Canis lupus familiaris: one gene and its partner. The main gene of each other region encodes a partner of the protein of the gene in region 2 in a complex. Links are inferred from orthologs where the notes say so. Each region holds a gene or a part of one and is shown on either strand. Other genes may lie near its edges. The genes, in order: SPIN1 and SPINDOC.

Evidence for each region.
Region 1: the proteins of SPINDOC (region 2) and SPIN1 are in contact, whole or in part, in a crystal structure (PDB 7CNA), measured with the Homo sapiens proteins. The link is inferred for Canis lupus familiaris from reciprocal best matches to the Homo sapiens genes SPINDOC and SPIN1. Residues at the interface, in NP_612480.1 of Homo sapiens: Phe256, Ala258, Pro259, Ala260, Val262, His264, Phe265, Thr266, Asp267, Ser269, Phe270, Pro271, Gly273, Phe274, Val275, Leu276, Gln277, Leu278, Phe279, Ser280; in NP_006708.2 of Homo sapiens: Met154, Thr169, Tyr170, Glu171, Pro174, Pro206, Val209, Val210, Leu213, Lys216, Gln217, Val218, Glu219, Tyr220, Thr229, Val232, Val242, Tyr243, Ile245, Phe247, Asp249, Asp250, Tyr254, Val255, Tyr256, Asp257, Leu258, Val259, Lys260, Thr261.

The regions. Positions count from the first base shown.
Region 1 is NC_049222.1:98,070,207-98,081,680, reverse strand, and holds part of SPIN1 (spindlin-1), read left to right. Parts: intron 1-96; coding exon 97-350; intron 351-4,836; coding exon 4,837-5,070; intron 5,071-8,308; coding exon 8,309-8,508; 3' UTR 8,509-11,474. UniProt on the Homo sapiens protein: Chromatin reader that specifically recognizes and binds histone H3 both trimethylated at 'Lys-4' and 'Lys-9' (H3K4me3K9me3) and is involved in piRNA-mediated retrotransposon silencing during spermatogenesis.
Region 2 is NC_049239.1:53,687,432-53,699,420, reverse strand, and holds the start of SPINDOC (spindlin interactor and repressor of chromatin-binding protein), read left to right. Parts: upstream 1-5,241; 5' UTR 5,242-5,287; coding exon 5,288-5,414; intron 5,415-5,722; exon of another isoform or gene 5,723-5,870; coding exon of another isoform or gene 5,871-5,871; intron 5,872-8,882; coding exon 8,883-9,212; intron 9,213-9,301; coding exon 9,302-9,451; intron 9,452-9,581; coding exon 9,582-9,719; intron 9,720-9,879; coding exon 9,880-10,077; intron 10,078-10,381; coding exon of another isoform or gene 10,382-10,389; exon of another isoform or gene 10,390-11,645; intron 11,646-11,807; coding exon of another isoform or gene 11,808-11,839; exon of another isoform or gene 11,840-11,849; coding exon of another isoform or gene 11,850-11,860; exon of another isoform or gene 11,861-11,989. UniProt on the Homo sapiens protein: Chromatin protein that stabilizes SPIN1 and enhances its association with histone H3 trimethylated at both 'Lys-4' and 'Lys-9' (H3K4me3K9me3).

The DNA of each region.
Region 1 (11,474 bases), on a different chromosome or scaffold from region 2:
TTACCTGGAGGAGAGCATGCTAGCTAGCGGTAGCATTGGATCGAGGGGTGCATACTTCTGAGATGATCCCTTACGTGTGTATATGTGTGAATGCAGAAAACATCGGAGCAGTGTGGGGCCGAGCAAACCTGTTTCCCAGCCCCGGCGGAACATCGTAGGCTGCAGGATTCAGCATGGGTGGAAGGAGGGGAATGGCCCTGTCACCCAGTGGAAAGGAACCGTTCTGGACCAGGTGCCTGTAAATCCTTCTTTGTATCTTATAAAATACGATGGATTTGACTGTGTTTATGGACTAGAACTTAATAAAGATGAAAGAGTTTCTGCGCTCGAAGTCCTCCCTGATAGAGTTGGTAAGTTCTCTTTACTATTTGTGCGTTGTATGCTTTAAAAATGATTATCGAAATGGATGCTTTTTGATGATTCTTTTGCATTATTGGTGTTTTTATTTTTACTGGAGTGCAGGCACTCCCGGTACACAGTTAAGTCACTGAAAGCACAGTCCAGGGAACTGTTAGGGATGTAAAGATGTATCAGGTTATTGGTGAAGAAATTGACAATCTGATCATTTCTAACATGGTTATTTCCTACATTTTGCTCACTGTTCATGTGGACTCTGATGGGTAAGAATATTTTATTAGCTCAACTATGCTGTGTACTTGTTTCATCAGACTGTGGTAGCTTATGCCTTTATTAGAAGCCTTATGTGAAGTGTAGTTTTCATCGTGTAATGTCAGTGGCATTGCATTTGCAGCCACACCTGAGGCAGCCACCCCCTGTTTGCATTGACTGTGGGAGGGAGTCTTTAAATGTCCCCCTGATGTGTTCCTCAAGACACAAGGTGTCCGTTAAATAATAATGACTGATTTTATCCTTAGGAATGAAGTAAAATGTTATTGTTAAGATCATCTGCATTAACCTTACTTTCTTCAGAGTGTTCACTTTGAAATGTTTCCTTATTACAGTGATGCTACTCGTGTACGAGCATATATCTGTTTATGCTTTTGGAATGGTCTTTAGAAGCTTCCGTGTTAACAAACCCCATCCCAGCAGAGGTGGACCTGGAGGGGCCAGGTTGTCAAGAGATGGCGCTCCTCAGTCCCCTGTCCCCTTTGTTCTTGCCCCTGTGTTCTTAGGACACACACTTCCCTCACCAAGTTAATTCTTTGCCAGGTCAGCAGGTTTCTTGTTGGTGTTCCCTGAGGATAGCAGTGCTGTGTATTTGTCTTTGTCAGGACAGCTCAGTTCTCACAGAGATCTTGCTTTCCATCTTTCTTATCCGTTTATTCAAGGTACCTCACTGAGCGGTGTTGCATCTTCGGCACCTGTCATATCTTCACCTGTTCCTGAGCGCCCCCCACCCCCCCGTAGGATGCCATGGTTTCTTCTTGATCCCCATGTGCACCCATTTCCAATGTAGGACACAAACATCAAAGAGTCTTACCTTCAGGTGTTGAAAATGTCCAAACCTTTATATCCATTGTCTGTGCTGGGTAGTGATCACATATTCTTGTGACCCAGAAGTTTAGTCTCCCTCCTTCCTGGGGCGAGGCTGCCAGCCCACGTGAGATTACCTGCATTCTGCTGCGTGGCCTGTGCCAGATCTCCTGAGTTCTTCTGCCATTGTAGGACAGAGGAAGTCCTTTTATGTTGGTAAAAACATGGTTTGAGCAAACCAAAATAGCCCCAAATCTCTAAGTATTTATGGTGATGGACTCAGAGTGCCTCCTGTTTTTTTGGCAGTTCCCAGCAGGAGGCAGGGTTGCTTTTCTAGAGTCTTACCAAGGAAATACAAAGGCTGCTATGCAAGCCAGGGTATCGCGTGCTGACTTGAATTGCTAGTTAATGTCGGTATTCCCTGTGGACCTCAGTCTGGAAAGCTGTGTAGCGGTCACTCTCATTCCACTGGGAAGGAGGCAGTGTTCATGGTCTGCATCACTCAGCAAACACAGCATCTTCTCTATGGGACCAGATCATGTGCTGGTAAAGGATCCATTGGACGATCAACAGGTTGGTTTTGTGGTGGTGAGAAAACATGTGACCTGCAGTTCGCTACCTTGATTATTCTTAAGTGTCCATAATTAAGCGAGTGTTTAGTTGTGTCCACACAGTCATGGAGCAGGTCTCCAGAAAGTCTTCATCCTGTTGGCCTGTAGCTCTGTCCCTCTTTACCACCCCCCCCTTCTCCGTGGTGTTGATCACCTGAAATGCCTCCTAAATGGGATTGTAGAGTATTTGTGTTTTTGTGACCTCACTGCGCCCTTGCAGTTGCAGCACCCCCTTCTCTCTAGGGCTGCACCATGCCTCCGTGCTCACGTGCACCCCTTCTGTGCCTCCCGCCCTCTGTGGGGCTGCGGGGGGTGATGCTGCTGTGGAGGTGGTGGGCCCCTGCTTTCCTGTCCCTCGAGGACAGTGCCCCAGGTGGAATTGCTGGGGTGTCCCTGTGCTGTTCTTCACAACGCTCGTAGCATCTTGGGTTCCCAGCTGCAGGCACAGGCTCTGGTTTCTCTCCTGTCCTCCCCAACCCTTGGCGTGCCCTGTTGGGTGTTTTTTTTTTTTTTCGTTTGTGTTTTATTTTTTTAAGATTTTATTTATTCATGAGACACAGAGAGGCAGAGACATAGGCAGAGGGAGAAGCAGGCTCCATGCCGGGAGCCCAATGCAAGACTCGATCCCAGGACTCTGGGATCATGACCTGAGCCGAAGGCAGACATTCAACTGCTGAACCCCCCAGGCGTCCCTCTCTGTCATTTTTTTTTTTTTTAAAGATTTTTTTATTTATTCATTCATGAGAGAGAGAGATAGAGAGGCAGAGACACAGGCAGAGGGAGAAGCAGGCATCATACAGAGAGCCTGATGTGGGACTCGATCCAGGGTCTCCAGGATCATGCCCTGGGCTGCAGGCGGCGCCAAACCGCTGCGCCACCGGGGCTGCCCCCTCTCTGTCAGTTTTGATGTGAGTCTCCCTGACATTTAGTGATGTTGAGCATCTTCTCACATGCTTTTCGGCCACTTGTCTGTCATCTCTGCAGAATCTATTCGGATCCTTGCCCATTTTCCATCAGATTATTTTTTTTTGCTGCTGAGTTGTAGAAGTTCTTTATCTCTTCTGGAGACATTTTTATTGTGACTGTGACAGGTTTGCTGATAACAATTCCAGATTCTGCACCACACTTAACCATGAAGGAGCTACCACATGTTGATTGTCAAGTAGCATCATAGGGGAGCATCTGGTTTCCTGAAAAGCCCCTTTTCAGCAGCAGGGCTTTGTGAGGTTGGATTTTGTGTGTCCACTGGAAGAGCATGTGACTGATTACTGGAGCATATAGGACAACCTGGCTGCCCTGTAGAGCTGGGTATCAGGAGGTGTACAGAGATGTGAAGCTACACACTTCCTACTACATTTTTATAAGAAGATATAGTTATTTTTTGTTAGAAATGAATTCTGTAGATTTGTCATTTATAATTTCCAACAGCTGATTCTGATAGCTATCCATATGCTAAAGTGCATTTTTAATATTTATTTATTTATTTATTTATTCATTCATTCATTCATTCATTTATTTATTTATTTTTGCTAAAATGCAGTTTTAGATCCTCAGAAATATTTTAAGAATATAGGAGTCTGGAGATCGAACTTTGAGAACTTCTGGCCCAAAGAGTGTAGTAGGCTTTGTTTTAGTGTGCGGTGGGGAATTTTGTGTAATTTTGGAGAATTCCTGCATGTGTAAGTGGAGAGAACCACCATATGTGCTTGGAGTGTCCTTCTAATAAAATTAGGTAACAGTATCTTGAGCAAGAAATTACAATCTGTTCCTTTGAATTTTAACAGAAATAGAAGCGATTATGAATGAAATAGAAGTGCTAATTTGTTTTTAATGACAGTTGTCTAAAATGTGAGGACAAGAGAAATCTTTGCATCATTAGGATCCTTCATGATTTTCCCACTATTAATAAAAGGAAGGTTGTGATTGTCCGCCTGCCTCTTCACACAGAGCAGGCCTGAGAATTAGTTTGTACGGTAGTTGTTGACGCCCTGGGGTCTCAGTGTGGGAATGCAGACGCTGTCTGAGCCAGGAACAGGATCACTGCAGGTGATGCCAGGTGTCATTAGGGAATAAGTAAAGTGGAGGACACGACAGGTGGCTGGTGTGGGGCTGATCTCACCTTGTGGTCCTGGAGACAGAGGAGCCTGGTGGGAAGGAGAGAGAGGCCCATGGGGGCAGAGGGACAGGCCAAGAAGGGAGGCTGCCAGGCCCAGGGAAATGGTTTGATTTTCACATGACCAGGTGGAAGCACTGGGGCATTTTAAGCCAAAGCGCTGGCTGCCGTGACTGATGCCAGGCGCAGTCTGGTCACCATGCATATGAGAGTCCCCTCTCTGGCCTGGCATGGGTGAAATTTCTTAGCTTGCATCCCCTGGCTTGTGTTACCCAGGTGTTAATAAAGGGAAGTGGGGTGACGGTGTATGTGACCGCTCCTGCTCTGCAGTTAGAGTGAGGCTGTGATTACTCAGTATATAAAGTAACCATTAACACTAAACACTTTATACCTCGAATAAAACCATTGGAAGTTCCAGGTAGAATCAGTGTAGGGCAGAGGAGTGCAGGAGAAGAACCAGGAGCTGCCTGGGGACAGAACCAGGAGGTGCCATGGGAGCCCGTGCTCTGGGCCCCCAGCAGTACTGTGGGCCTGGCCCCTGCTGCCTCCTGCTGGCCCTTGTGCCACTACTGTGGTGCGTGGACCACGTCTCAGGCTGTCCCTCTGCCGGAGCTCAGTCTCCACAGTACGGATCTTGTAAAACCCCCATGTGAACCGTTGTTTGCTTCTTGTCCACAGCGACTTCTCGAATCAGTGATGCACACCTGGCCGACACGATGATCGGCAAGGCGGTAGAGCACATGTTTGAGACGGAGGATGGCTCCAAGGACGAGTGGAGGGGGATGGTCCTAGCGCGCGCCCCTATCATGAACACGTGGTTCTACATCACCTACGAGAAGGATCCCGTCTTGTACATGTACCAGCTCCTAGATGATTATAAAGAAGGCGACCTTCGCATTATGCCCGATTCTAGTAAGTGTACATTGGCAATCTTTGTTTCTGATAATTCCAAAGGAACTTGAATTTTAGAATGAGATATTTGATGATCTATTTTTGTACATGTATCTTATTTTATTTTGATTTTTATTTTAATTTGAGGGTTAAATTATTCTTCTAGTCATGCACCAAGCATAGGTTGTGAAGTTTTGCATTTTTGCCTCAAGTCCTGTGCTTTCTATTTGGGTGTCCTATCCTGGGTGTGGACTTGTCCGTGGGTGGAGTGTGTCATGTAGACTCCTCGTGAGTGACTTCCTTATTAGCTCAGCATTTTCAGGGCTCATCCGTGTTGTGGCAAGTGTCTGTGCTTCATTTCTTTTAATGGCCAAGTACAATTGCACTGTATGCACGTTTATTCACCCATCCACTGATGGGCACGTGTGTTGTAGACCACCTCTTGGTGATGATGAAGGATGTTGCTGTAAACCTTTGTGTGCAGGTTTCTCAGTGGACGTTTGTTTTCAGTTCGCCTGAGTGCTTGCTGAGGACTGGGACCGTTGGGTGTGTGGTCACTGCTGAATCTTTGGGGAACCGCCAGACTGGTTTTCGAGACCGCTGTACCCTTCTCCATGCACGTCAACTGTGTCTGAGGGCTCTGACACAAACACTTCGTGTTACCTGACTTTTGGCTCTAACTGTCCTGGTTGCGAAACACTACCTCACCATGGGCTTGGTTTACATTTCCCTGACCGCTACAGACACCAGGCGGCCTTCTGTGTGTTACTGGCCGTTTCTATGTCTTTTTTGGAGAAGCCTATTGGTGCTGTCTGCCTGTTTCTCGTCACCGCCATTCTGTTGCTGTGTTTATCAAGTCTGGGTCTTGGTGCGGATCTCCTGACGTGTAGGATTTGCAGACACTTTCTCATATTCGGTGGGTTTCTTTTCACGGTCTTGGTGGTGTTCAAAGCACAGAAGTTTTTCATTGTGACGAAGGCCACTTTAGTTTTCCTTTTGTACCTTGTGCTTTTGGTGTTGTGTCTGACAGTCTTTGCCAAGGCCAAGGTCAAGGTCATGATGACCTACCTCTTTCTTTTCTTTTACGGGTCTTGTAGGCATTGCTCTTACATTTAGATCTTTGAAATGTTTTGCATTAATTTTCATGATGTGCTGGAGGGTCCACCTTCATTCTGCGTGTTGTCTGAGCACCATGTTGTGGAAAGACTTGTTTCCCTGCTGGTGGTGGAAAGAAGCTGGTTGTGGATGGACAGCTGTGTTCCTGGGCTTTGGGTGCTGCTCTGTGTGCCTGTGCCTCGGGGGACATGTGCCACACTCGGTTACCCGGCTCTGGGGTAAGTTACGATGTTGGGCAGTGCTGAATCCTATGTTCTCTCTCAGGATTGTTTGGATTTTTCTGAGTTCCTTGCGATTTCATGAATTTTGGAATCAGTTTGTCAGTTTCTGCAAAGAAGTCAGCTGGGACTCAGAGGGGGATTGAATCTGATTATCTTGACAATATGAAGCCTTCTAACCCGGGAGCACAGGAATACTCTCCGCTTTGCTGAGATTTACAGATGTCTATCAACAGTGTCTTGACGTTCTCAGAGTAGCAGTTTTGTACTTCTTTGTTAGGTTTTATTCCTGAATTTTGTGCTCTTTTTGATACTGTTATGAATGAAATTATTCTCTTAATTTCATTTTTGGGTGGTAAGCCTGTTCTTTTTTAAACTGCTCCATAGCCTTGCCTCCAGCACTGGGCTCCCAGGCCTGGATGGGGTGACAGCATGTCTGTTCTCGTTGGGTTCTTCCTCCAGCACTTGTGCTCATCTGGCCCTGACTTTCTACCTTCTTTGTCTTAGGGTTTGTCATAAGTCTGTAATGGAAAATATTTATATGGGCAGGAATTTAATTATCAGGAGAGTGTTCCTTAAGAGCACTTCTCCAGCCTATATGAAGTTGGGTTTTTAACTTTTTTGTAGAAAAGGACCCACAGTAAGGACTGCTGCCTCACTGCTGGAAAGCGTGGGCCTTTGCATTGTGTGTGGTGTCCCCCAGACCCCCTTGCCCTTTCAGTCTTTTCCTCCCATCCCAAACACTGCTTCAGCAAGTGTTTGGCCCACAGTGATGATGCTCCGGTGTGAGTGCTGTGCAGGGGCCTCTGTGCGGGGGGCTTCGGCGAGAGGCCCTGACATCCTGCTGGGGTTGCTGAGGTGGCGGCCGTCCCAGCTCCTAAAGCTCTGTAAGCTCCCAAAGCTCTGTAAACTGGAGGTGTTCCTAAAGTGAGGTGGGCTTGGCGCCACTGCCTGGCAAGGGAACAGTGTGTGGTTTGGCCCTGTGGCTTGGCCAGGCTTCCTTGCTCAGAGACCCGCTGAAACAAGGCTGGGCGTGGGCTGGTCGAGGTGGCAGGCTCAGGGCTGCGAGACTGAGGGTGCTCCATGTGGTGTGAGCAAGGCGCCTGGGGTGGGAGGCCGGTGCTGCTCCTGGCTGAAGAGTTCGCCGCACCTGCCCTGCTGCTCCCAGCTTCGCCATGGGAGCCGGTGGTCGCTTGTTGCTGTGCTCCGAGCCGTTCTCGCCCAGGGTGGCGTGGCGTGGCTTTGCCAGGGTCACCCAACAGGCCCCGGGCAGAGGGGACCTCTGTCATCTTGGGGGACCCGGGGGACCCGTTGTGATTGGTCTGGGCCGGAGGGTGGCGCTGGGCACCTGTGTTCAGAGCGCGGGAACTCATATCAGAGCACGGGAACTCTTACTCAGAAGCTGAGCTGGGGGAGACTGTGTGGTGGGGTGACCTGGGAAAGCCCAGGAGGGTGTGTCTTCTCAGCGTCCCAGGGGGCGCTATTACCAGTGGCAGGTCCTGTGGGGCTCGGCTTTTCCCTGGTCTTGCCCTGCTGAGCCCTCACCTCTCATTCTCAGCTGTTACTACACAGGAGCCATGGGAATTTCTGCTTATGATTTTCAAAATCCTTTACCCACCCTGGTCCTGGGGGGCGGCACACTGTTTTAATAAATAAAGTTTTACAGGCATACAGCCACACCTTTCATTTAGGCACCCCCGCGACTGCTCCCCTGTGACTGGCAGAGCTGAGTAGTCTGTGCAGACACCGTACAGCCTCAAGCCTCACATATTTACCATCTGGCCCTTGAAGAAAACATTGCCGACTCTTGCCCTAGATAATCAGGGATGTGAAGTTTTTAAAAAATTATTATGAAAATAGACATGTGAATTGGTACATACCTAAAATTTGACTTTAAATTCTTTTCTTTCCCCTCTTTAACACAGATGATTCTCCTCCAGCAGAAAGGGAACCAGGAGAAGTTGTGGACAGCCTGGTAGGCAAACAAGTGGAATATGCCAAAGAGGACGGCTCTAAAAGGACTGGCATGGTCATTCATCAAGTGGAGGCCAAACCGTCTGTCTATTTCATCAAGTTTGATGACGATTTCCATATTTATGTCTACGATTTGGTGAAAACATCCTAGATGTCATCATGAACTTTGCCAAATTTGTGGAACTATTAAATGTATAATTTGTAGACATAAAGACTTGATTGCTTTCCAGTTTAATGAAAGCTTAAATGTCCCTGCGAACCCACAATCTCTGCCAGCAGAACTGGTTTTGTTCTGAATAGTACAGATTTATGTGAACACAAAGCATTTTGTGTAAGGAACTCCTTCCTCTTAAAAGAAGTCTGTGTGTCTGGAGGGGAGTTAAGGCAAGTTTGGTGCAAGTTAAGCTAGCATTGCGGTCGTATAGAACTGTACTGGATCGTCCCCAGCTCCCCGTCACCATAGCTCTCCTTCTCTGCTGCCACACTGCAAGCGTAGTTTGGTACTGTCGGTACTGCCTTCTTTTTTGAGACGTGTATGTATCTCTATCTACCTGTCCAGCTCTGTGTGTGTCCATATGCACTACGCGCGCACGCACACACACACACACACTCTTCCTTGGCAGTCCTTTCTTTGTGGATTGGGGTGGGGGTTCAATAATATTCTCCAGTTTAACAGGAGTGCTTGTCCTAAGTCAGTCCTATTTTGTATATTACTGCTGTCTATTTAAAATTAAATGTGGGCACAGGAGACAACATCAGGATGTTCAGCATGTTCTGGAAGTCGGAAGTTCAGACACTGTTTCAGTCTGGAGGCTTTAAATCATGAGTCCAAATATAAATCCCTTGAGAACAGTTGCTGGACCCACATTAGAATTCAACAAAACATTAGAAATCTGGGTCAAAAGCTGCCTTTAATTCTAAGCTTTGTAAATTTTTGTTTACATATTTTTTAATCATAAATCCTCTTTCTGTTTTAAAGCAAAGCCCAGGTACTTGTGCACACACAGTGGTGCAGGTGTGTTTTGGGTGGCCCAAGCGGTCCGTTCATGTGTACAAATCAGTCTGGATTCTAGTACGTGGATCTGAGAGGCAGCAGTGCATCAGTGGTTTGTGTGTGTGTGGTAAGTTCCTGGCAGAACCTAGTGCTTTTATATTAGAAATACAAGTTTCAGAATGGTGTTGCCGCCTGCCAGCAGGTTCTCTGGAACACTTATTTTTATTACTGTTCTTACTGGTACATGGTTGTGGTCAGAAGGCTTTTCCCCACAAGAGGATCTAGATGCACAACAGCCAGGTCCCCGGCCGCCTTCTGTGGTGCTGCACGGTCTTGCTCCTCGAGTGCTGTTGATGTGGGCTCTCCCCATCCAGGGGCCCTGCCACGTCAGGGCCGGTCACTGCGCTAGCCCCCGGGTGTGCCTGGAAGCAGCCCATGGCTGCACGACCCTCTCGTGGCTGATTCCCACAAGGTGGGCTTCACCGGAATAGACCCGCAGAGGTAGTTAGTGTGCCAGCGACACGGCCATCTGTCCCTTTGTTTTGGATGAGCCCTGACCGTACGAAAGCCAGGAGAGAGGCAGGACGTCAGACCAGTCTCTTGTGGAGATTGGAAAACTTGCCTGAGTTCTGGGAGTCAGCTCCCAGATCGTGAGGCCTCAGAGACTCTGTAGCTGTGGCCTCGGAATGCATGTCTGCATGGCGAGGCTGTGTGCTGTGGTGCTGTGGGGTGGTGACCTCGCGCGCTCTAGCAGGGCAGCGCCCGGCCTGTGTAGGTTGTCTCCCTGTGGTGAGCACCTGGTCTCAGACGCTCCTCCTGCTTGAACAGGGGTCATGCTGCACACCTGTCACCTCCTTCCCTGGAGGCTCTCGTCACAGTCCCTGCATGCGAATCTCCAGGCTGGGCCCAGCTCCCAAGCGCATGTGGACACGTGTGCCCAGAGAGTGGGTATGCCCAGCGTGTGCACCCAGACGTGATGAGGTGGCTTCAGGCTGAAAACCAGTGTTCTTGGGAAGTGTCCTGAGGGTTGGGTCACTTGGTGACTTGCATTGGGGTTTTCCTGCAAGTACCTGTAGCAGCTTCAGTACTACGTGGTGTGCCACTCCCCAGACGAACGTGACGCGTGACGATCACCGTTATGTTAATCAGTGTTCCATGTGTTGCCTTTAGGGTGGAAGGAAGGGGAAGGGGTTTTTTTGTTGTGTTCTTTATTCCCCCCATTCTTTTTACTTTTGGTGGCTCAGCCCACACTTGCGCGGTGACTGACTGCACTCCCTCGCCCGGTATTTCAGGCTTCGTTCTAGGCTCACGTTTCAGATCTGCATGCATTGCTTGCCTTTTCCTGCTATCAGAATGTTGGTTCCTTGTTCTAGGAGGCCAACATGAGTTTCCAAAATTATCGTGGGACTTGTGACCACACAAGACCTGAACCTGTATAAAATGTCCCGGCCTTCCTCACTGACCTGCTCTAGTGTTCTCGTGTCGTGTGCGTGTGACGTCCGGCTGCCACGTGAAGCTTCCGAGGAGAACCTTAGACGCAGACCATCCTTTTTTGCATGCTCTATTCTAAGTAGGATGTTCAATGTAACTAACTGAACTTGCATGTGAAAGATATTTAGGTTTTTTGTTTTCTATCTTTGTTTTTATTTGTTTTCAGTTTTCTGTATATTTGCTTCCTGTGCCGTTTTAGTGGTCGTAGGATGAAAGTGCACTGGCGAAGCCATGCAGTGCCAGCAGCAGGTGACTTCCCAGCTCTGTCGTGCAGCATTTGAAGGGACTGTGCATTCTCGAAGCCTCACAGTTACTTCTAAGCCAGAGTTCATTCCTGTCCTTGTTTTACGTGCCAAACCCCGAAGTGCATTGGGCTTGAATCTCTGAACGCTGTGGACCCATTAGAGGACTGTTCTGATTGTCACAAATTGTAGTGCCTGAAAACATTCTTAAGCTGATTGTCTTAAAAAAAAAAAAAAAAAGAAAAAAAAGAAAAAAAAAAAGAAAGTTCTCCAAAGACAAAACAGGAACAATTATTATAACAAAATAATTATGGTCGAAATGTCTGTGGTTCCTTGGAAATGCTGCGCTTTTTGTATTTCCACCATTAGTGCGGTGTGAGCGGATGTGTA
Region 2 (11,989 bases):
GCTGGTTCAAGAGCCAAGAGAAGGGGACCTCTGACGACATGCAAGAACTAAGTAACATTTCACCTAGCACCTAGGAGTGAGAGTATACTAAGTTTTAGGGAATGAGTAGTTCAAGTGGCAAACACTGCCATGATATCTGTGTCAGGTCATTATTTTTCTTATTTTAGATGACTTCAGGTTAACACTTTAAAAAAAAAAGATTTTATTTATTTATTCATGAGAGACGCACAGAGAGAGAGAGAAGCAGAGACACAGGCAGAGGGAAAAGCAGGCTCCATGCAGGAAGTCCAACATGGGACTCGATTCCCAGACTCCAGGATGCTCCGGGTAGAAGGCAGGCACTAAACCGCTGAGCCACCCAGGGATCCCCACTATTTTTTTTTAAGATTTATTTATTTACTCAGTTATGATAAACATAGAGAAAGAGAGAGAGAGAGGCAGAGACACAGGAGGAAGGAGAAGCAGGTTCCATGCCAGGAGCCCGACGTGGGACTTGATCCTGGGACTCCAGGATCACGTCCTGGGCCAAAGGCAGGCGCTAAATCGCTGAGCCACACAGGGATCTCCCCCCACTATTTTTTTTTAAAGCAGGCTCCACAGAGTCCAATGCGGGGCTTGAACTCACCACCCTGAGATCACTGCCTGAGCTGAGATCAAGAGTCAGACACTTAACTGACTGAGCCACACAAGCACCCCTGTTGGCAATAGGATTACTGAGCCAAAGAGCATGGACAGATATTTATCATGACTTTAGCTGAAGATCACTACAAAATGCCAAGTAAGTTAAAGTGAAGCCACACATCCACCCTCTCACTCAGCCCTCAACAGCCCTCTCCACATTTAGAGCTTCATACAGCTTTATTTCCTGCAGCTTTTCACTCTCTGTCCGCGTGTCATCATTGGGGCCCTAGAATGCCACCAGTAGTAAAAGCTGTACCAAGAGGAAATGCTTCATCCCAACGTGGGCCTCCAGCCCAGGGGACATTACGGAGAGTGGCCCCGAGCAGCTGTTTGCTGGAACAGGCAATCCATTCCCATCTCTCTCATCTCCAGGCTGTCCTTCCTGTTTTCGGAATCTCATACTCCAAAGCTAAATTCACAAAGTCAAAAGATGAGTTACAGATGTACTTGTCTAGGAAATACGTTCCCTGGGCAGCCCGGGTGGCTCAGCGGTTTAGCGCCGCCTTCAGCCCAGGGCGTGATCCTGGGGTCCCTGGGTTGAGTCCCATGTCGGGCTCCCTGCGAGGAGCCTGCTTCTCCCTCTGCCTGTGTCTCTGCCTCTCTCTCTTTCTCTCTCTCTCTCTGTGTCTCTCATGAATAAATAAAATCTTAAAAAAAAAAATAAAAGTCTATGTCAAAATGTCACCAAGTCTGGAAGAGAACTTTAACTTAACTATAAAATATAACGTGAAGAGATAAGAAACTGTCAGAATTTGGCTTTTTTTAAAAAAAAATATTTTATTTATTTATTCATGAGAGAACAGAGAAAGAGAGAGAGAGAGAGAGAGGCAGAGACACAGGCAGAGGGAGAAGCAGGCTCCATGCAGGGAGCCCGACCCGAAACTCGATCCTGGATCTCCAGGATCCTGCCCTGGGCTGAAGGCGGCGCTAAACCACTGAGCCACCAGGGCTGCCCATAGACTTTTATTATATCATTTTTTCTCCAGTTCAAAGATCGCATTTTTAATTTGTTAAATTTTTTTTCAAAATTTTATTAAATTCTAGTTAGCATATAGTGGAATATTGATTTCACGGTAGAATTTAGTGATTCACCACTTACATACAACACCCAGTGCTCATCACAAGTGCTCTCTTAATGCCCTTCACCCATTTAGTCCCTCCACCCCACTTCCCTCCAACAACTCTCAGGTTGTTCTCTATTGTTAAGAGTCTTTTATGGTTTGCTTCTCTCTCTTTGTTTCTCCCTTCCCTATGTTCATCTGTTTTGTTTCTTAAATTCCACATATACACACACACACAAAAAAAAAACAAATTAAATTCCACATATGAGTGAAATACGGTATTTGTCTTTGACTGATTTATTTTGTTTGGTATAATACCCTCTAGCTCCATCCACGTTGTTGCAAATAGCAAGATTTCATTCTTTTTGATGGCTGAGTAGTATTCCAGTGTGTGTGTGTGTGTGTGTGTGTGTGTGTATACACAACTTCTTCATCAGTCAACAGACATTTGGGCTCTTTCCATAATTTGGCTATTGTTTATAATGCTATAAACATTAGGGTGCATATGCCCCCTTCAAATCAGTATTTTTATATCCTTCAGGTAAATATCTAGTAGTGCAATTCCGGGATTGAGAGCAGTTCTTTTTTTTTTTTTTTTTTTTTAAGGTTTCCATACTGTTTTCCAGAGTGGCTGCACCATTTTATATTCCTACCAATAGTGCAAAAGGGTTCCCCTTTTACCAAATCCTCACCAACATCTGTTGTTTCCTATGTTGTTAATTTTAGCCATTCTGAGAGGTGTGAGGTGCTATTTCATCATGGTTTTGATTTGTATTTCCCTAATGATGAGTGATGTTGAGTGTCTTTTCATGTTTTGGATGGCCATCTGAATGTCTTCTTTGAAAAAATGTCTATTCGTGTATATCACTCTTCATATACACAAAAATGAAAATGTATGCAAAATAAATTGGCTAACATTGTCAAAACCCTCTGACCAAAGACCACCAGGAACACAGCTGCTGTAAAAGAAAGTTAGGTTTATTTAACTTGTTGCTATAAAGGTAAAGGTACCCTAGGGAAGCCCTCACGTGAGTCTCTAAATTCAGGCTTGCACTCCAAGGTTCTGTGGAGGGATTAAGGAAGTGAGGGACCAGTTCTGGATTGAACGCTGTCAAAAAGCAGGGACAACTTAGAAACTAGGTATCTTTAAAACGTTCATCTAGGATACAGGAGGATGCAAGCAGAGCTGGAGTGATCTATGGTAAAGGAGCAGCAATCGCTTAGAGTCATCTTTGTGGTCACCAAGTGGCCTTGCCTATGTCGCATTCTGAGCATGATTTATTTCTGCTGGTAACATCACCATATGAATATCAAAAGAGCGATCTTAAAAAAAAAAAGAGCGATCTTAAACTGTCTTGATATTCCTTTTTTTTTTTTTTGTCTTGATATTCCTAAAACTTCACAGTGATGTCCATTATAGAAAGCATGCCCATACTAAGGATGTTAAAATGTAGAGAAAACACTCATTTTAGATTTGATGAAAAAGGATTCTTGCTTTTTTCCCTTGGGCAAGTAATTTACCCTTTAAGCTTCAACTTCCTACTCTGTTAAATGGGAACAATACAGTCTACTACATAAGACTTATGAGGACAGAGGCACCAGGGTGGCTCAGTGGTTGAGTGTCTACCTTTGGCTCAGGTCATGATCCCAGAGTCCTGAGATCGGTCCCACATCAGGCTTCCCGGAGGGAGCCTGCTTCTCCTTCTGTCCATGTTCCTGCCTGTGTCTCTCATGAATAAATAAAATCTTGGAAAAAAAAAAAAAAAAAAGGAAGAAAGGCTTGTGAGGACAAAGTGCCTTAGTATAGTATTGAGTGTATTACTCGGAGTCCAATGGGGGCAATAGGAATTACTCTAAGTAGGTAAAACAAAGAATTTAATGCAGGGAATTGGTGACACCAGTGACAGGGCTGAGTAGTCCAACAGGGGATAGAGAGGTAACCCAGAGATTAGCAATGACAGGACACTCCCATCACTTCTAAACTGGAGGAACAAATGGAGGAGATGGAATTAATGTAGCCTGGAAGTGAAGATCCTCCTCCAAAAGTTGGAACCATGGCAGCCTATCCAGTAAGAGCTAGAGCCACAGAGGAGCTTTATCTACAGCTGGAGACCTGCCCAAACCTGAGCAAGCGACAGAAAGAGAAGAAACACACTGGCTTTATCCTCCCTTCGATTTTCCAGTCTCCTGCCACTGGCTCCCAATGGCCTAACCCAGACCTGAAGGCCCCAGTCCTGGGAGCCTGGGGATCGGCCCCGCGCAGGGCAATGCAGAGGGGAGCAGGTCAACGAAGGGATCCCTGCAAAAGTTACTAGGTGATCATGAGGTAGAAATGACTTAAACCAGCTTGGTTAACACCTTTATTTGAAAAATCTTTAAAGTCCTGGATACTCTTGAAAGTAACAAAATTCTTCCCTTAAAGACCTATGGTCGTCCTGATAATACCGGTTCGTATCTGCCCTCCAACCTCCAACCTACTCCACACGTTATTCTGAATTCCTACTGAGTCTGGTCGGACGCGGTGGCATTTTAAGACGGATTTCCAGCGTCAGACATTTTCCCCACCCAAATCTCAGGAGAGTTTCTACAGCAGAGATGCCCATTCTACGTCACAGAGAGAAGAGCTCACCCAGGTTGCACCGAGCGGGATTATGATGCAGCCGCGTGTCACGGCCACTGGACCCTGGTCTCAGGGCTCTCAGGGATTCGTGTGACCTTGAGGAGGCTCCACATTTCTAGACTCACGTTAAAAAACAAAAAAACAAAACAAACAAAAAAAAGGCAATCCAAACCCTCCGGCGCGGTGCGCGCGCCCACCCTCCACTTGGCTCTTCCACCGTCGCCCCCCTCGTCCGGGAGGCTCCGCGGCGTTTTCGGAGAAAGGATGAGGTCGTCTAAGAAAACAGAGGGCGAGCCCAAGGTCACGGCGCCCGCGAGCCATCGGGGTCCCGTCCCCCGCCCGGGCCGCGGCCCTGCTCACCGCCCCGCCGCTGCTTTTCCCGCCTGGGCATCTCCCGGCGGGGGCAGGCTCGTTCGGGGAAGGCACCAGCGACCGCAGCGCCCCCGGGGCCCCGCGAGCGCTCTCGACGCGCGCCCAGGGGCCGGGGGCCGGGGGCCGGGGGCCGGGGGCCGGGGGGCAGCCCGGGGAGGGGCCCCCAGCGCGGGGTCTCGGGCCTCTCCCGGCCGGCAGCGCCCCGCCGCCCCCGCCGCCCTGCGGGTCCCGGGGAGGTAACGGAGCCGCGTGCCCGGGGCGGGGCCACGTGCGATTGGCCGCGCGGGGTCGGGGGCGGGCCCGCGGCGGGCCGGCCGGGCGGGCGCCGACAATGAGCCTCCATAAAAGGGAGCGGCGGGGGCCTGGGGCCCCGGATTGAGCCCTCCCCGCCCGGGGTCCCGACGCGCTCGGTCTCGGGGAGGCCCGGTCGCGCCCTCGCAGGCCGGGCGGTGAGCGGCGGGCGGCGGGCGGCGGGGAGGGGGCCCCTGGCGGCGCGCCCGGCCTCCCGCGTCCGGTCACCGCGTCCCCCCCCGCCCCCCGCCTCGGCCGCATCATGGCCCTGAAGGCCGAGGGCGCCGCGCTCGACTGCTTCGAGGTGACGCTCAAATGCGAGGAAGGGGAGGACGAGGAAGAGGCCGTGGTGGTGGCCGTGATTCCACGGCCCGAGCCGATGCTCAGAGGTGAGGCTGGAGGGGACCCCACTTCCGCGTCACGGCGCGGCCCGCGCGCCCCCTCCCCCTCCGGCCTGGGACCCGGGCGCCCCCTCCCCCGCTCTGGCTCCGCCCCCTCCGGGGTCTGGAATCTGGGGCCTCCCCGAATTCCCCCTCCCCCGCCCCCGTCCGGGGTCTGGAGCCTTCGATCCACGCCCCGCGCACTCCGGATCTTCCGGTGCCCGAGCGCCCCCTCGCCCGGGCCCCGCACCGGCGGCCGCGGCCTCCCGCCCCGCGGAGGCGGGGGCCGGGCTGCGGTCCAGGCCGAGGGGCAGCGAGGCCTCCAGGCCCGAGGCTGGGCGCGGCGGCCTGCTGTCCGGAGGGAGCTGGAGGATGCCGCCCGCCGAGGGGAGGATTTTCAGGGCCCTCCGCACGGAAAGCCTTCCTGTCCCCCAACCCCTCTTTGCATCTCCTGCCTAACACTTGAGTAAGCCACAGGTGTCAGATTCTAGCGCTTCGGGGGTGAATGGGATACAGCGCTTGCCAGGGGTACCCTCTGCCACGCAGGAAGGGGCTTGGCCTCAGGAGGGGATAGCAGGAACGGTCTGGGAACACTTGCTTTCCCCTCCCCCTTTACCAATTTCTTTAGTCCGCAGGATCTTGCAGACCATTAGAAAACAAAGGGCCGTCTAAACGGAAAACTTAATACTGGCGAAAATGCCAAAAAAAATCTTTTTCGTAGAAATGCGAACGTGTGTTTATTTTAAGATACCTCTTCCCATAAAGGGGATTGTACCCAAAAGAGAGAGTAAGGCCATTTATTTAATCCCCGCGGAACACGCTATCTCCGTGCACTGCCTCTCAGCCTTTTTGGAATCTGCAGGGTTTTAAAACAAGTCGAGGAAATGAAAGCTGCTGCCCTTGTCAGAGCTTTAGATCTAGCAGAGGTTCTTTTCCGTATTTGTGCTAGTATTTACTGAGTGCTGGATGCTAGGCTGCGTGAATTAATTGTTTCAACAACCCTTTAAGGGAGGCCCTATTCCCCACTGTTACGGTGGGGAAACAGAAGTCCGGAGAAGTTAATTCATTCAACAGGTTTTTATTAGTAGCACCTATTATAAACGAGGCAGTTTTAGGCTGGACATGCAAATGGTTATGAACAAAGATGTAACGTCTCATCTACATATACGTATAAATGAATGACCAAAGACAAACGTAATTCAGTGCATAGGGTGTCAGGTGCCGATAAGTGGTTCAGAGAACACCAGAGCAAAGGGAGGAGAAAATGGATTGGGAGGCGTTTTATTTGGAATATCAAGTAGTCAGAAAGGCTTCTTTTCCAATGTGAATTTTGAGCCCAGACTCCCAGGATGGGAGAGAACGAACCTTTGTGGATGATTGGAGGGAAAGCATCTTAGGCAGAGAGAATAGCAAGTGTAAGTGTCCTGAAGCAGAAGCTTTTTGAAAGAGTTTAGAGGAGAAAAGGATGAATTCAAGGCTTTTGACCTGAGCACCCAGAAGGACAGGCCTCCCGCATCCCAAGACCAGGCGACTAGGATGCAAGCGTATGAAGACAGAGAGTTAAGATTTGAATGGGGCGAGTTTGAGATGCCTGTGACACATCCAAGCTGTAAGGCCAGATAGGCATCAGACACATGCATTTCAGTGCCACTGGAGAGCGGCTGGTGGTATAGATACGGGAGTTGTCAGCCGCCAGGCAACGGGACAACACCTGTCAGAGGAAGGAGTTAGATAGGAGAGGTCTAAAAAACTGAACTGTGGAGCTCTCTCCAGTGACTGCAGGTTGGAGATTGAGTCAGTCCCTCATCAAAGATTTCTGAATGCCACTGCATGCCAGGCATTGTTTTTGATGCTGGAGGTCCAGGTGTGAACGATCCAAAGTCTTGCTGTCCTGGAGCTCACTGGGCAGTGGGGAGGCATGGTGCACAAGTAAAACACACGTTAGGTCTGATGGTGGTGTGGGCTGAGGAGCAGGACATGAGGGGTAAAGGGGAATCGGGTGTCCAGCTTTCTGCAGGAGGCAAGAGGGCTGTGGTAAAAAGATAGTTCTTCAGGCTATTCCTTGAAAGAGATGAGAGAGCTGCACAGGCACCTGAAAAGAGGTGAGGAGGACCCAGTACCAGCAACTGCAAGAGAGCCCCAGGGAAGAAAGGAATGAATCAACAGGAGGCAGTGCCTGGAAGCCAAGTAACAAAAACCTAGATGGAAGAAGTGACGAGCCAAATGATGAAATTTAAGAACTGACAGCCAGGTTTAGCTTTGGTGACCTTGACGGGAGTTGTTTCCGAGCAGTGGTGGGAAAGAAAGCCCAATGGCAGTCAAGAGGTCAAGGTTACTGTGCATGGTCACATGGGACATAGGAACAGCCCAGCCTCGGACCTGAATCTTCCGAGTCCTGGCCACTTCTCAGACCCGTTTCATATGCCACTTATCCATACGGTTCCCAGACGTCAGGGCCCCTCATATTTTACTTCATCCCATCTTCTCAGATGGGAAGGAGATGCGGTTACAAAAGAGCAAGGGGACTCTGCTGCAGAAGCATGGAGCTGCCAGGCTAATGGGGGTCCAAGGCTGCCTTTGTTGAACCGGAAAGAATTCCTGCCCTGCCAGAGCTTGTGGCCCATGTGCACAGGGAACAGATGCCAGGCAGACCCTTGGGAATGAGATCACCCCTGCAAATGCTCTGGGAGGTGGGAGAGGGATTGTGATGGGGTGTGGCAGCCTTCTGAAGGGTCCTTGCCAGGTGGAGAAACAGGCATGCCTGTTCTTTGCTGACTGCAGGCTCCCGGAGCATCTCCTAGGTGGCAGGCCCTGTGGGGGCAGTGAGACAATCAGATGTTCTCAAGAAAGTATGCAGCATGGCCTGGAAGTCAGAGGTGGATATAATCAACCGTCAGGGTGGGAGGTCCCAAAGGCTTCCCAGGAGTGACAATGTGAGCAAGGCCATAAAGGAAGTGTAGGAATTTGTCAGACCAATCAGAATGGTCTAGATGAATGTGCCAAAGCTGAAGACCTGCAAGAACACAGCCTGTTGGAAACCCTGTGGTCTGGAGCCAGATTGAAAGGAGATATACAGGGGATCCCTGGGTGGCTCAGTGGTTTGGCGCCTGCCTTTGTCCTGGGACATGACCCTGGAGTCCCGGGATTGAGTCCCACGTCGGGCTCCCTGCATGGAGCCTGCTTCTCCCTCTGCCTGTGTCTCTGCCTCTCTCTGTCTCTCTTTCATGAATAAATAAATAAAATCTTTAAAAAAAAAAAAAAAGCAGATACACAGATAGTGGGATGCCGATGCACACAGGTTGCGTTTAGTATGGTTAGTGCCTCGCGGGCTGCAGGGGAGAGGAGAGAGAGAGACTTGGGGTAAGAATGTGCCTCCCTCCGCCCTCCAGCCCTCCACCAAGTTTGGGGAATCATGTAAGTATTCTAGGCCATGGGTACCTCTACTGGTAACATCCTCCTGCACGTCTCCCTCTGTAGTGGCCCAGCAGGAGAAGACCCCACCGCCTAGGCCCAACCTGCTGGAGGCAGGCAGCGATGGCTGTGAGGAGCCCAAGCAGCAGGTGTCTTGGGAGCAGGAGTTCCTTGTGGGAAACAGCCCCGGAGGCAGCGGGCGGGCACTGTGCATGGTGTGTGGGTCCGAAATCCGGTCCCCCTCTGCCGACACGGCGCGCATGCATATCCTGGAGCAGCATCCTCACACCCTGGACCTGAGCCCTTCAGAGAAAAGCAACATCCTGGAGGCCTGGAGTGAGGGAGTGGCCCTTTTGCAAGACATCAGAGCTGAGCAGCCTTCCTCGCCCACCTCAGGTAGTTGGAAGTGAGGGTCGGGTGGAGGATGAAGGGAAAAGTCGGACTCACAGAGCACTTGGAACTCACTGGGTGTTTGCCTTCTTCAGACTCAGGCCAGGATGTCGAAGCTGACCCGGACTCTGACCCAGACCCTGCCAAAATGCCAGCAGAGATCGTTGTTCTCCTCGACTCTGAGGACAACCCATCTCTCCCGAAAAGGAGCCGGCCCAGGGGACTCCGCCCCCTCGAGCTTCCTGGTCAGTTTTTGGGAAGCCCTTGCGGCTGAGCTGGGGAGAGGGGAGTGCGCATTCTGTGTTCTGTGTGACGAGAGGCTACAGGGCCCAGGCGTGGCCCCTTTCAAAGGTACAAGGTCTTCTCATTCTGTAGCTGCCCCTGCCTCAGAGGCAGGAAATAGGAAGCCCCGTGGTCAGAGATGGAAGGAGCCCCCTGGAGAAGAACCGGTCAGAAAGAAAAGAGGCAGACCCATGACCAAAAACTTGGACCTGGACCCAGACCCTGACCCAGGTGAGGGAGAGGCCCATGACGGGCGTGGGCTCCAGGCGCAGTGCTCCAAGAGGAAAGTCACGCCAGGGCAGGGGGGCCGTCCAGGCCTCTGGACTCTGGCTTCAGTGGCCATAGGCAGCACAGCCTTACAGACTCTGTTCTATCCTGTCCTTCCTTCCAGACCCCCCATCACCTGACTCACCCACGGAGACTTTTGCTGCTCCTGCTGAGGTCCGTCACTTCACCGACGGCAGCTTCCCCCCGGGCTTCGTCCTCCAGCTCTTCTCTCACACACAGCTCAGGGCCTCAGACAGCAAGGACTCACCCAGAGAAGGGGTTGCTGCAGGAGGCCTTCCCCAGCCAGAAAGCCCCTCTCCAGGTGAGCTCCTGGGAGGGGACGACAAGGGTGGGTCGGAGAGAGCCAGGCTACATCCCTGGGGTCTGGCCTCCTCAAGGCTGCTCTGCAGCAGAGCCTGGGATACAGGTGGTTACTGCTCAGGGCCCCTGAGACGCGGGGCCGAGGGCGGGCAGACCAGAATGGTGGGGACTGGCCAGCAAGCTGAGCCGCTCTGTTAGCTCCTGGGGAGTGTCCTGGAGTTGGTTGTTAGGTTGGGCTAAGCCAGTACTCCCCAGAGCCTGACACCCATCAGCACACTTATGGCTGATTCCTCCTGGAACCCGAGGTGCCTAGCTCGCCCTGGTGGAGCCAGGGCCCGAGTGGGACTGGAACAGAACAGACCCCTGGTCAACTCGGCAGGCACCTCCGTAGAGAGCAGCTCAGTGACTTTTGAATGATAGCATGAAGTGCTTGCGTTTGTATCATGTTCAACCAATTTCAAGAAACTTTTCTATGTAGTTCATCTGGCCCTTAGAAAAGTCTGTTTTCCGCATGGGAAGGTGGAGTCTCAGCTGGTTCTTCCCTCCCTTGATCCTTGTATTCGTTTCCTGTGGCTTCTATGACAAACTACCACAAATCTTAGTGGCTTACAAGAATACACTTTATTACTTTTCAGTTCTGGAAGTCAGAGGTCTAGAATGGGTTTCATCCATCTAAAATCGGCAGGGTCCTATTCTTTTCCAGAGGCTCCAGCAGGGGGTCGCTGGGGGGTAATCCATTTTCTTGTCCTGCCCAGCTTCTTAGAAGCGAGCATTCCTTGGCTATGGTCTCCTTCCGTCTTCAAAGCCAGCAGTGGCCAGTAGAGTCTTTCTGAGGATGTCGTCTTTGTTCTGACTTGTCTGCCTCCCTCTTCCCCCCCCTGGGACCCCTGTCATCCTGTGGAGCCCACCCAGATCATCCAGGACAATCTATTTTGAAGTCAGCTGGTTAGCAACATTAATTCCATCTACTGCCTCAGTTCTCCCTTGCCACGTAAGATAGCATAGTCAGAGATCCTGGGGATTAGGGAGTGGGATATCTTTGAGCAACACAGTCATATAGCCAGGCAGTGGCTGGATTCAGATTAGACCAGAACATGCCTTGGGAGGGCAGAGGCTGAGCCTCATTCCTCTTCATCTCTCCATGCCAGGCGCCTCGGGCTCAGGAAATGGCTTTTTTTTTTTTTTTTTAAGATTTTATTTATTCATGAGAGACACAGAGAGAGAGAGGCAGAGGGAGAAGCAGGCTCCATGCAGTCCCGATGTGGGACTCAATCCCGATCCTGGGTCTCCAGGATCAGGCCCTGGGCTGAAGGCGGCGCTAAACCGCTGAGCCACCCGTGCTGCCCAGGAAATGGCTCTTGAAGGAGTGACCAGGTGACACACAGAGCACTTTGTCGTGGCCTGCCTGAAATAGTGCATTCGGAGTTAGAGCCCAGGGAAAGCTAGCACGGGAGGTACCAGGGGCTCCCCAGAGCAGGGGTCTCAAAAAGGAGGTGGACTTTTTGTACAAAGAAAAAGCAAAAAAAAAAAAAAAAGAAAGGAAGAAAAAGCAAATATGCCCCTTCTCTTGCCCACCCCACCTCACTCAACAGTGGTGAGCACTGTTAATAGTTGGTTTTGTGTCTTGAGACCTCTCACGAAGCTCAGCGTGTGCCTGTATGTGTGTACACGCACTTTTCACTGAATTCTATTTTACCAAGATAGGCTCTGTTTTTTCTCATCTTGAGGCAGGCGTCAGCTCTTCACGTAGATCACGGTCTTAACTGTCTCAAGTTTCAGCTTGAGCCACATTCCAGTCCTGCCTCCCCGAGACTGTGTGCTCTGCTTGGACTTGAGCGTTCCCTGAGCTTCCTCGTTCTCTTCGGTGGATCACTGCTTTAAATGGCTCACTGCTTCCACTGTTTAATGGGTCT